Sus scrofa: one gene and its partners. The protein of the gene in region 2 interacts with the protein of the main gene of each other region in a pairwise test. Links are inferred from orthologs where the notes say so. Each region holds a gene or a part of one and is shown on either strand. Other genes may lie near its edges.

Region 1 (3,500 bases), on a different chromosome or scaffold from region 2:
GGACTTGGGATTATGCGCCGCTCTCTCTTCTCACCCCGATCCGCCTTACTGCATCTGACGTGTTCCCTTCCACTGTCCCCCATCATCGTCTGTCCCCCCTGGCTGGGCGCCTGTGACCGGTGACCCCTCCACCACCCACCCCGCCTCCCTCCGGCCCCCGCTCCGACACCTGGCTTGCTCCGACCCCCCCCGCCCCCCGACAGCAGCACAGCAGCCGGAGAGCCAAGAGTGTAGAGGACGACGCTGAGGGCCACCTCATCTACCACGTCGGGGACTGGCTACAAGAGCGATGTACAAGCCAAATCGTAACAATCCTATAGCCTGTAATGGTCCCATAGCCATCCTAACGTCCCGAGCCAACCCAAGTCACAGCCTCTTTTGCCTTTTCTCAGTGGTGTTGTTTATCTGGGTGGTTTGAGTTGCTGTTGAGAATTGACCTCTGCTGTCCACTCCCAGCTCTCATGGCCCCTGGGTTAAAGGTGGTGGGAATCATGCAGGGGTTTTCTTCCCCTGTGACCATCTGTATCTGTTCCCCCTTCCTTCATCTCCTCACCCCAGGTTGCTGTACCCTTTTTTTCTTCCAACTCAGCTCATTCCCCACCTTCTCTCCCTCCCTCTCCCCGACCCTGCTCTTTTTCATTTCAGATGAAATCATAAGCACCTTGGGAGAGGGGACCTTCGGCCGAGTTGTGCAGTGTGTCGACCATCGCAGGTAATTGGCAGCCCCCCTCTGTACTCCACGCCTGCCAGCTGTAAAGAGGTAGTAAAAGTTATTTGGGGCTTTTTTGCTGACTAGCCAAAAGTAGGATTTCTTAATCCCTGGGTAGCCCTGTTCAATCTGAGATTTTCTTGAGATTCCAACAAAATTTTGTCTTGCCACCCTACAGGGGTGGGGCCCGAGTTGCCCTGAAGATCATTAAAAATGTGGAAAAGTACAAGGAAGCAGCTCGACTTGAGATCAATGTGCTGGAGAAAATCAACGAGAAGGATCCTGACAACAAGAAGTAAGCAAGCAAGCGAAGAAGTGTGTGGGGAGTCTGAGAGGCTCCACCCTGCCCCAGGAAAACCTTCCTGACCTGGGTTAGCCAGGCAGGGAGTTCTAGATCTTCTCATCCATTCATCTTTTGTTCGTCATCTTAGAGTAGTAGATAGAACACTAGGGCAGGAAGGGAGGGTCTGTGATATTCTCAAATCCACTCCCCTTGTTTTCGGGCCGATAGATTGCTCTGCAGTTTGCCTTTGACCCAGGATGGCCTCTTAGGGATGTACCCTGGAAATGGCCCTGAGTCTGAGAGTCAACATTTTCAAAAAAATTAGTTGAACTTTTAATACCCAGAACTATGCTGATGACATTTATGTATAATTTTTCTGTTCACACACATTCCAGAATCTAACTATAGAATAAGAGTATTAAGCAAAGACATAAGACGATAGTTATAAACGTGGGTCCAGTGATGGCTGGTGGTGAGTGAATTTCAGGAGTGGGATCTGGGGTCCGGATGTAGGAGTGGCTGTTTGACCATTCAGAGTCCACACTGGAGCCTGGCACTCAGCAGCTCCTCAGCAAATAGAGTGGGTTTTTTTTTTCTTTTTTTCAACTATTTAAAATGTTTCAGGAAACTGATGTGAGGCTTGGCGGGTAGTACTTCTCTTCTTGGTTCTGCCAGAAAGGCCATTCTCTAGCCAAACTGAATTTTCTTGGTGATAAGAGCTGGCATGGTTTTACACAAATATGTGGAATCGACAGCTATGCAGTCCCTCTTCGTTGGAGGGGTGGTGGGCAGATGGGAGCTCATCAGACATCCCCCTTCCTCCATCTCTCTTCCCAGCCTCTGTGTCCAGATGTTTGACTGGTTTGACTACCATGGCCACATGTGTATCTCCTTTGAGCTTCTGGGCCTTAGCACCTTCGATTTCCTCAAAGACAACAACTACCTGCCCTACCCCATCCACCAAGTGCGCCACATGGCCTTCCAGCTGTGCCAGGCCGTCAAGTGTGAGTGGGGCGGGCCGAGGTGGACTCTGGGGCAGCCCCTCCCTCCATTGGACCTCTTCTGTCTCAGTTTTGTGCACTAGTGAAGCCCCTCAAACAGTCATCTCGATGATGTGCCATTCTTTTATCCACTGTCCTGTTGACATCTCTTCTTCTTCAGACTTATCTCCTTCATCCGTGTCTTCACCATCACCGATTGCTCTTACTCCACATTCAGCCTAGCAGGAGCTGGAAGAGAAAGCATTTCAAACTAAAGCACTTAATTACCTCTTTTTCATTCCCCTTCCTTGGGAAGGTGTAAGTCAAGCAGGAAGCACAAAGAGACAAAAAGATTCCTCGAACTAGAGGTTTACATTTGTTTGAGCTGAGATACTCTCTGTTCCCAGCAACGCAGGCGGGAGTGGGGCGTAATGCAGCCAAGGGGCCAGGAACAGAATTTAGACTGCTCATACTTCTTCCTCTTATATCTTCACAACAGTACTGTTTTCTAGAGCTGAAGTCACAGAAGTCAGACAGATGTCAAAGTCAGTACAACAAAAAAAACCCATAGCACACCATCTATACATTGGTTGAGAAATACACATGTATTGTCCATTAATGAGTGTAGGGCTTCTTAGACCAGGCATTTCATTTGGATGTAGAGCAGTAAACAGCCTGGTAATTCTGGATCTGCCTCCTCACCAGCCTTGAGCTAGGTGACCAAGCCGGGGGTCAGCCGGTGCCAGTTAGCCCTGGCCACATGGACCAACCCTGACCTGGCCTTCTCCTCTGCAGTCCTCCATGATAACAAGCTGACACATACGGACCTCAAGCCTGAAAACATTCTGTTTGTGAATTCAGACTACGAGCTCACCTACAACCTAGAGAAGGTAAGGCAGACAGGGTGTGCCCCTTAGCCAGGGAGGGTGCAGGTGGCCGTGCCACTTTGCCCTTCTCTTCGCCCTTTCTGTCCTCCCACATTTTTAAGTTTCTTGGTTTGGGCTTCCTTCTTTTTTCTGTAAGGGAAGCTCAGCTCTGCTCCCTTGACTTAAGTGGAGATCATGGAGATCTCAGCTGAGGCAGCTCTTCCTCACTTGGCTACCTCCTGTGCATTTTCAGGAACACTACCCACCAGTCGCTTGGGCATACTCTTCAGATGCACAGACTTGCATGCTATTCCATAGTTAGCCCTTGATCCTGTTCCTGCCCCACTCCTAAAGTACTTTGCGGGATGTGGGGGAGGCTGTAAAGGAGGAGACGTTTCAGCATGTGTGGGGAGCAGGCAGGAGGTCAGAATTGCTTTGTTTTAAGGCTCAGAAGCACTTTAGAGAATAGTGCTAGAATCTCAGTCTGTTCATTCTTTCCGTCTCACTGCAGACGGAGGTTCATTCTCCTCCTGCTTTATTCCTAGAAGCGAGATGAGCGAAGCGTGAAGAGCACAGCTGTGCGGGTGGTAGACTTTGGCAGTGCCACCTTTGACCATGAACACCATAGCACCATCGTCTCTACCCGCCACTACCGAGCACCA
Region 2 (4,154 bases):
TCAGCCGTCACAGACCTCCCCCTTGGGAGGTCCCTTCCTGGGGTCGTCAGACTGGAAGACGTAGGTCTCCTCTTCTGCCAGTAGGCAGGACCTGACGGGGACTGGCCTCGGGGCCTTACCTTATTCCGGAGCTTTAACTAGTCTTGCTTGGGAGTTGGTCCGTCTCTCCACCGAGTCCGGTTGGGGTTCGGCCATTGGGAGGACTGGAGCACCGCCACGAAGGAGGACCCGAAATACCGTCGGGTGGAGCACCGCCTCGTTCGCCTCCGGAGCTCCCCAGCCTTCCTGCAGCTTCACCGCAGCCCCGGTGGCTCAAAGGGCCAGAACGGTTGGGGTCTCGCTGGGGCCTCCAGAAATGTTACAGCTCCACGTGCAGCACCGACCAGCGAGAAACCAAGCGACACTGGGAGAGGAGGAGAATTTAGCTCTCATACCCGGCCGGCCTGGGGAAGATTGCTCTCCAGAACCCAGGCCCCGAACAGGGGTGCTACAGGCTTTTACAGGCCAGTTCTTCTGGGTCCACGCTTGGAGGGGTGGACCGGAGTGGGAACTGGAGGAGCCGGCGGCAGGGAATGTTCCAGCTTTAGGTGTGGGTCTGTTAGTGGTCACATGATCATGGGGGGGCGCTGAGCAAGCGGGGCTTACAGAAGCAGAACTTGCAGTTGGAGAGGTTTTCCATTAGTAATGTCAGGTTTTCCCTTTCATTCCCCCAGGGCCAGCCCTGGGTTAGGGAGCGTCCGCTCTTCTCCTCCCATCGGTCGGGCAGCCACGCTACCTTTTGTACGGGGTCAGCTCATTGGGCAGATTCGGCAGACGCCCCGCCCTGAGCCCCGAACTGGCCAATTGCAAGGAGTTTCACGGCCTGCCGCGCGCGAGGGGTTGTCACCGTGCTGCGACGCTTCGGGGATCCCTAGGCCTCAATGATCTTTGCTCCCCGGCCCCGGGCCCTAGCCCCAAGGAGACCTCCAGGACCCGTGCCCGGGGAGGTGCCCGCGGGGCATCCGGGGGGCCCTTGGAGATCTCGGCCTCCTGGTTGCCCCGCCGCACGCCGGCGTGTCCTCGGATAGACGCGGGCCCCGCGAAGGGGAGTTTGCAGACGCTCCCTCACATAAGGGACGCGGCTCCTTTAAGGGCACAGGTGTCCAGGGCGCCGCCTGACTGGAAAGCCGCCCCCGGGGCTGGGCTCCCAGGCCTGGCCCGGGGCGCGGGCGCCCGGCGGCGGGGCACGGGCGGCGGGCGGCGCACAGCGACGTGGACGGCGCGGGGCGTGCGGCGGCAGCGGCGGGGCGCGGGGCAGGCGCGCGGCGGGCAGACTCCGCAGGCCCCGCCCCGCCCCGCCCGCGCCGGGGTCCTCGAGCGCTCGGGCTGCGCGCGGAGCGGGCTCGGGAGGGAAGTCCCGAGACAAAGGAGCGCCGCCGCCGCCGCCGCCGCCGCCGCCTCGTCCGCCTCACTCGCCGGGCCGCGGCCGCCCGAGGTGAGCGCGGCGAGACGGGCGGGCCGGGGACCGGGCCTTGTCGGGCTGGGGCCTCCGCCGCCGTCGGGCCCGGCCAGGCGGGCTCCCTCCACCCGCGGCCCGGCCGGGCCCGCTCCCGGGAACCGGCCTGCCCCGGTGTGTTGACGCCGCGGCGTGGGCCGGCCCGCTGGGCTCCGCGGCCCCAGACGGCGGGGGCGTCCACTCGGGCGCGCGCTCGGGGCGGGTCGCATCGCGGCCGGGCCGCAGACGGCGCCCGCCGCTCGGGCTGCGCTGACAGGAGCGCGAGCGGGCGCCGAGCCCTCCGCCGAGGCGGAGCGTTTCCGGGGTCACGGTCTGCGCGCGAACCTGTGGCGTGTGCCAGCCCTGGAGACGACGCATCGCACAAAGAGCGCAAAGCCTCGCGCTGCGGCAGCGCCGGCCCGTTTGGGGGTGGTGTGTGGTGTCTGTAAATCAAAACAAGTCCGAGTTCTTGCGCCTCCGGAGCCTCGGCCGCAGTTGGTGGGACCCTGGGCACCCGCGCTTCCTTTGACGGGGAATTTTCCTCCTGGGACTGCTTTGTACCAAGTGCACGGAGGCTGGAAGTGGTAGTTGAGCCAGGAGCAGGAAGGCCAGAGAATGATTAGCTGGGCTCGCGGTAACGGCCTGCACCTGCCTCTCAATCACAGAATTCACTGGTTTGGTTTGTGTGGTTTGAAAACAAGCTTAGTTCCTCGGGTTGCAAAGTTGTTGTTCTGTGTTTGCAGAGTTGGTGCCCTTTCCAGACCCCTAACCTCAAACGTTTCTTGCTACTAAGGAAAACTTTTTGGGTTGGAAGTCTTCCCACCAGAAGAGGGGAGTGGATCCCAAGTTTTCCCTGACTTGCTCATGGCCCGCCGGGTGGTTTAGGGGGTGAACTCTGCATCTTGTTGCGATAGTCTTGCTCGGGATTTGGGGCCTGGCTGCAGAAACGGGCAAGAACAGGGCGTGCACCTGGGCTGGAGAGTCTCCCGAGTGCAGGGTGCCTGCATCAGGTGAAGCAAATGCCTTCCCCCTGGGAAGCTGATGTTTGGGTGGGAAGGGCCCATCCTGGGCTGCTGATCCTTGCTCACTTTCACCCTGGGCCAACCCGTGAGTTCACAGTGCTGTGGCTTATCGCACAGCTGAGAAGGCTGAGGCTGGGAGAGAGAAGCATCTCGCCCGCATGTGCAGCCAGTTAGTGGCTCTGCAGGCTTTGCTGTCAAATCGCAGCGTGTGATCTAAGAAGAGGGGATTCAGGCACAGCTCACTCTGGAGGAAGGTGGCGTGGAGACTTCCAGAATCTGCCTGGACATCCCAGCTGCTGTCCTGCAGGCTAGCGGTTCGTGGGTATTTCATCCTTGCATCCTAACAATGTCCATCTCTGGAGTGTCTGCTAACATTCAGCTGCTTCGGGTGACTCTTGGTTGGGGAAGGCAGATTTAATTTTAAGTGGGATTCTGAAGGAGTAGCTCCCCTTGTCATTAAAATGTAACAAATTGGGTGCTTTCTCCCGGATAAGGGAAGGCCAGGCCTCTCTGCCTGGGCCTGTGGCTCTTCACCCTTTTGTTGCCTGGTCTGGTCCCCTGGCACCCCTGAGGAAGGGGAGGCAGGAGTTCCTGTGGGACCCCCCCCATTACCTTTGGCGCAGCCACAGCTGGGCTCTGGGACAGCCTGCAGAGGCAACTTTGTCCCTTGTCAGCAGAAGAGGTGGCCTGTGGCCGGGTGCTGGCGCACGGTCAGCAGGCAGGCAGCACTCAGGATGGCCCCCCTGGCCTGGTCTGCATCCTGGACAAGCCGTGACCCCTGCCCTCCTCCCCGAGCAGCCTCAGTTGCCCATTTAGTATCCATGGCTCCTCAGTGTCCACAGTGGTGCCCTGGGCCTTCATGACCCATGGTCAGCGCCTGGCCAGGTGCAGACTCACGGGGAGCAGCCGCTTGCTGGACTCCTGCCTCCGTTAATTCAGACGTGTCCGCCTGCTGCCGCCTTTGCCCTGGCTGCCCAGGGGCTGCAGAGACCCTCCAGATTCCTCAAGCCCTGCGGGAGGGGCAGCCCCACTAGCTGCTGGAGTGGGTGGGGCAGGGTTCTGTTTAGAAGTGAAGGGTTGGGGAGTTCCCGTCCCGGCTCAGAGGTTAACAAACCCGACTAGTATCCCGGAGGATGCAGGTTCGGTCCCCGGCCCGGCTCAGTGGGTTAAGGAGCTGGCGTTGCTGAGCTGTGGTGTCGGCCAGCGGCTACAGCTCCAATTTAACCCCTAGCTTGGGAACCTCCATATGCCACAGGTGCAGCTCTAAAAAAAGACCAAAAAAAGTGAAGGGTTGGAGGCAGTCAAGGGAAGGAAAGCTTTTCAGACTCGGGGTCACTGCCCCCGCCTCCCTTGGGCGGTCCCTGGCCCTCGCAGCCAGTGACCCTCCTGGCTCTTCTTTCTGTTCCTGGTGAGCCCGCCTGGAACAGTCCCTTGCATTGCTGCAGCTTGTGCCCACGCGGGCACCTGACCCTGTAGGACCGGGTGCCTCCCTGCCATCGTCCTGCTTCCTGTGTCCTGGCACCTAGCACTTCCCAGCACACGTCTTCCTCCTGCGTGGGCCTTCTGCACAGCCACAACTCTGTCTCTCCTCAGTTTGTGTTGTGTGAACAGACAGATCCCAGGCGGGGAGTTCCCATTGTGGCTCAGTGGTAACAAAC
Region 3 (2,318 bases), on a different chromosome or scaffold from region 2:
TAACCACTGCGCCATGACGGGAACTCCTGGGATTTTTTAATAGAAAAGAATGCTGTCTAGTAACTTGAAAACATTACTGACTTACTGCATATATCATTTGTTTAAAAATAAATATCATGAGTGTTTGTCATAAGATTAATTTTTGCTTTTTGTTTTGTTTGCTTATAATAGACGCCTTCCCTGTATGCACCTTTTCCACCAAGTGTGTGTTGACCAGTGGTTGATTACCAATAAGAAGTGCCCCATATGCAGAGTGGACATTGAGGCCCAGCTGCCAAGTGAGAGTTGACACCATGTTTCAGAACTCTTGCCCTCCCTCTCATTCCCACCCTCCTGGTACTGCAGTCAACCAAAGATGGCATGACTTACCTGCGCAGATTTGGAAGCCTTGAACTTAGAGTGCTGGCTCTGCTATATGGTACAACTAATGCTAGACGTACAGTTTATGTATACAGTTGATTTTGATGTATTTATAAAAGCCTTTTTTTCTAGATTTGACATTTTTCCTGTATCATTTTACTGTATTTTTGCATGGTTCCTTGTATTGCATTTCTTTGCACATATTATGGGCTTGTGACCCTAAACTTGCAGGCAAGATTAGCTGCTTTAGTAAGTAGAATTTTGTGGTCTTTTTGTTTTTTACATAGTACCAGGTCTTGAGAATTATGAATTTTTTTATCCATTACTAACGTTTAATTTAATCAATCATGTACTTTAGTTTAATGTATAAAAATCCTCTAGAAAATGATAATATTGTATTAAGACATTCCTTAATTAGGACACAATGGCTGCTGTATATTTACAATATGGAGTTCTGAGTTAAATACCATCCTTGATACTGGGAACAGAGTATAAACCATTTTCAATCAGATGCAGGTGGTATTCACATCACCAGAGTGATCAATAGAAATTTTCTTGGTGTATCCTTTTCCTTTCAGCACAATGCAGATAGAGTTGAATATTGATATCATACATTTAGACTGCTGTTCTGATTGTATTTATCGTTTCCTACATTGTTTAGAACTTTTATTTCCCAGATTCAATTTTTGCTGCTGTGAAACAGCTCTGATGAACACTAAATATTAATTTCAATTAGCTGGATTGTATATACTTGCAGATTTAACAAAATTTTAGGGAAATCGAAGAAGACATGTAGAATTTTTCAGTCTTCTGCTAAGCACGTATAGTAAAGATATCTGCTTGTGTTGAGTTTTGTAAACACATTTAGTCAGGATTTAGAATTGCAGTCACTGGCAGGTATCTATGCATTCATAGAACTTCTAAAGGTCCCAGGATCACTTTTAAAGGGATTTTTATTAGTTTAAAGATAAATAAAGTCAGCTGAATCTACATGTCTCTTGTTTTATTTCTCTTCAAACTTGAAAACAGTAAATCTGCAGATACTGTGAGGCACAAATTATGCTGTCAACCTACTGTTGCTCTGGTTTTAGATTCCCACTTCGTACATTACCAAGAGTCGATCACTGATTTAAAATTTTTAATTTCTATAGTTAAGATTTACTGCATAATATAGAATATTAAAGTTAAGTTAATGTACTAACATTTCTCCTTTGGAGAAAGTTTTAATCCACTTCAGGATGCATATATCAAGATACTTTCATATACAGGATAGCCTAATTTTATTTGTCTAAATATGCTTAATATGCCCCAGATTGCAAATGCATCAGTCAGTAACATCACTGTCTGTATGTGGAAGACATGTTCCCATGAATCATATGTGAAGATGTCAATAAGCTTGCATTAAGCCACCTGCTTTGTAAGTGGATTGATTAATAAATAACTTATATTTCTATTGTCTTTGTGTTTTCATAGTTTGTTTTTATAAAACCATTTATATTAAACATTTGGAATTCAAAAATAATGATCTCATTCAAGTTGACATTTACATAATTTGATGGTTGTTACTCAGTTATGGCTTCTTGTCTTTTATTAATATTAGTAAATAGTTACTCTGTAGTAATTGTCAGTATCAGGTGCTTGAACATAATATGTGGAGAGATGGAAGATGGACTATGGTTAAGAAATTTGGATATGAAATAACATTTTTAAAAAGAACATTTGATGATTAAGCTGTAGTTGGTGGGAAGGGGATGAGACAGAATGAGAGAAAAGGAGAGAAACTTTGTATGCCATCTTACTGGGGACAAGAGCTAGTACCAATAGCATGTGACAGATGTAGGGCTTCACCACTATAAAACACAGGGTCTGTGCCAAGGGATAAGATGGGGAGAATTCAATATAATAGAGTCCTCTTGATGCTCCCCTAAACACAAATATAGATAGATTCCTCTGTTTTT

What was found.
Region 1: the proteins of UBE2I (region 2) and CLK2 interact in a two-hybrid assay, tested with the Homo sapiens proteins (2 studies listed by BioGRID). The two-hybrid records come from large-scale screens. The link is inferred for Sus scrofa from reciprocal best matches to the Homo sapiens genes UBE2I and CLK2.
Region 3: the proteins of UBE2I (region 2) and RNF111 interact in binary tests that used the Homo sapiens proteins (3 or more experiments, as listed by UniProt). The link is inferred for Sus scrofa from reciprocal best matches to the Homo sapiens genes UBE2I and RNF111.

The regions. Positions count from the first base shown.
Region 1 is NC_010446.5:94,564,785-94,568,284, forward strand, and holds part of CLK2 (dual specificity protein kinase CLK2), read left to right. Parts: intron 1-203; coding exon 204-291; intron 292-645; coding exon 646-712; intron 713-887; coding exon 888-1,004; intron 1,005-1,829; coding exon 1,830-1,996; intron 1,997-2,767; coding exon 2,768-2,862; intron 2,863-3,383; coding exon 3,384-3,500. UniProt on the Homo sapiens protein: Dual specificity kinase acting on both serine/threonine and tyrosine-containing substrates. Phosphorylates serine- and arginine-rich (SR) proteins of the spliceosomal complex.
Region 2 is NC_010445.4:40,566,142-40,570,295, reverse strand, and holds the start of UBE2I (SUMO-conjugating enzyme UBC9), read left to right. Parts: upstream 1-1,354; 5' UTR 1,355-1,474; intron 1,475-4,154. UniProt on the Homo sapiens protein: Accepts the ubiquitin-like proteins SUMO1, SUMO2, SUMO3, SUMO4 and SUMO1P1/SUMO5 from the UBLE1A-UBLE1B E1 complex and catalyzes their covalent attachment to other proteins with the help of an E3 ligase such as RANBP2, CBX4 and ZNF451.
Region 3 is NC_010443.5:112,960,966-112,963,283, reverse strand, and holds the end of RNF111 (E3 ubiquitin-protein ligase Arkadia), read left to right. Parts: intron 1-171; coding exon 172-289; 3' UTR 290-1,818; downstream 1,819-2,318. UniProt on the Homo sapiens protein: E3 ubiquitin-protein ligase. Required for mesoderm patterning during embryonic development. Acts as an enhancer of the transcriptional responses of the SMAD2/SMAD3 effectors, which are activated downstream of BMP.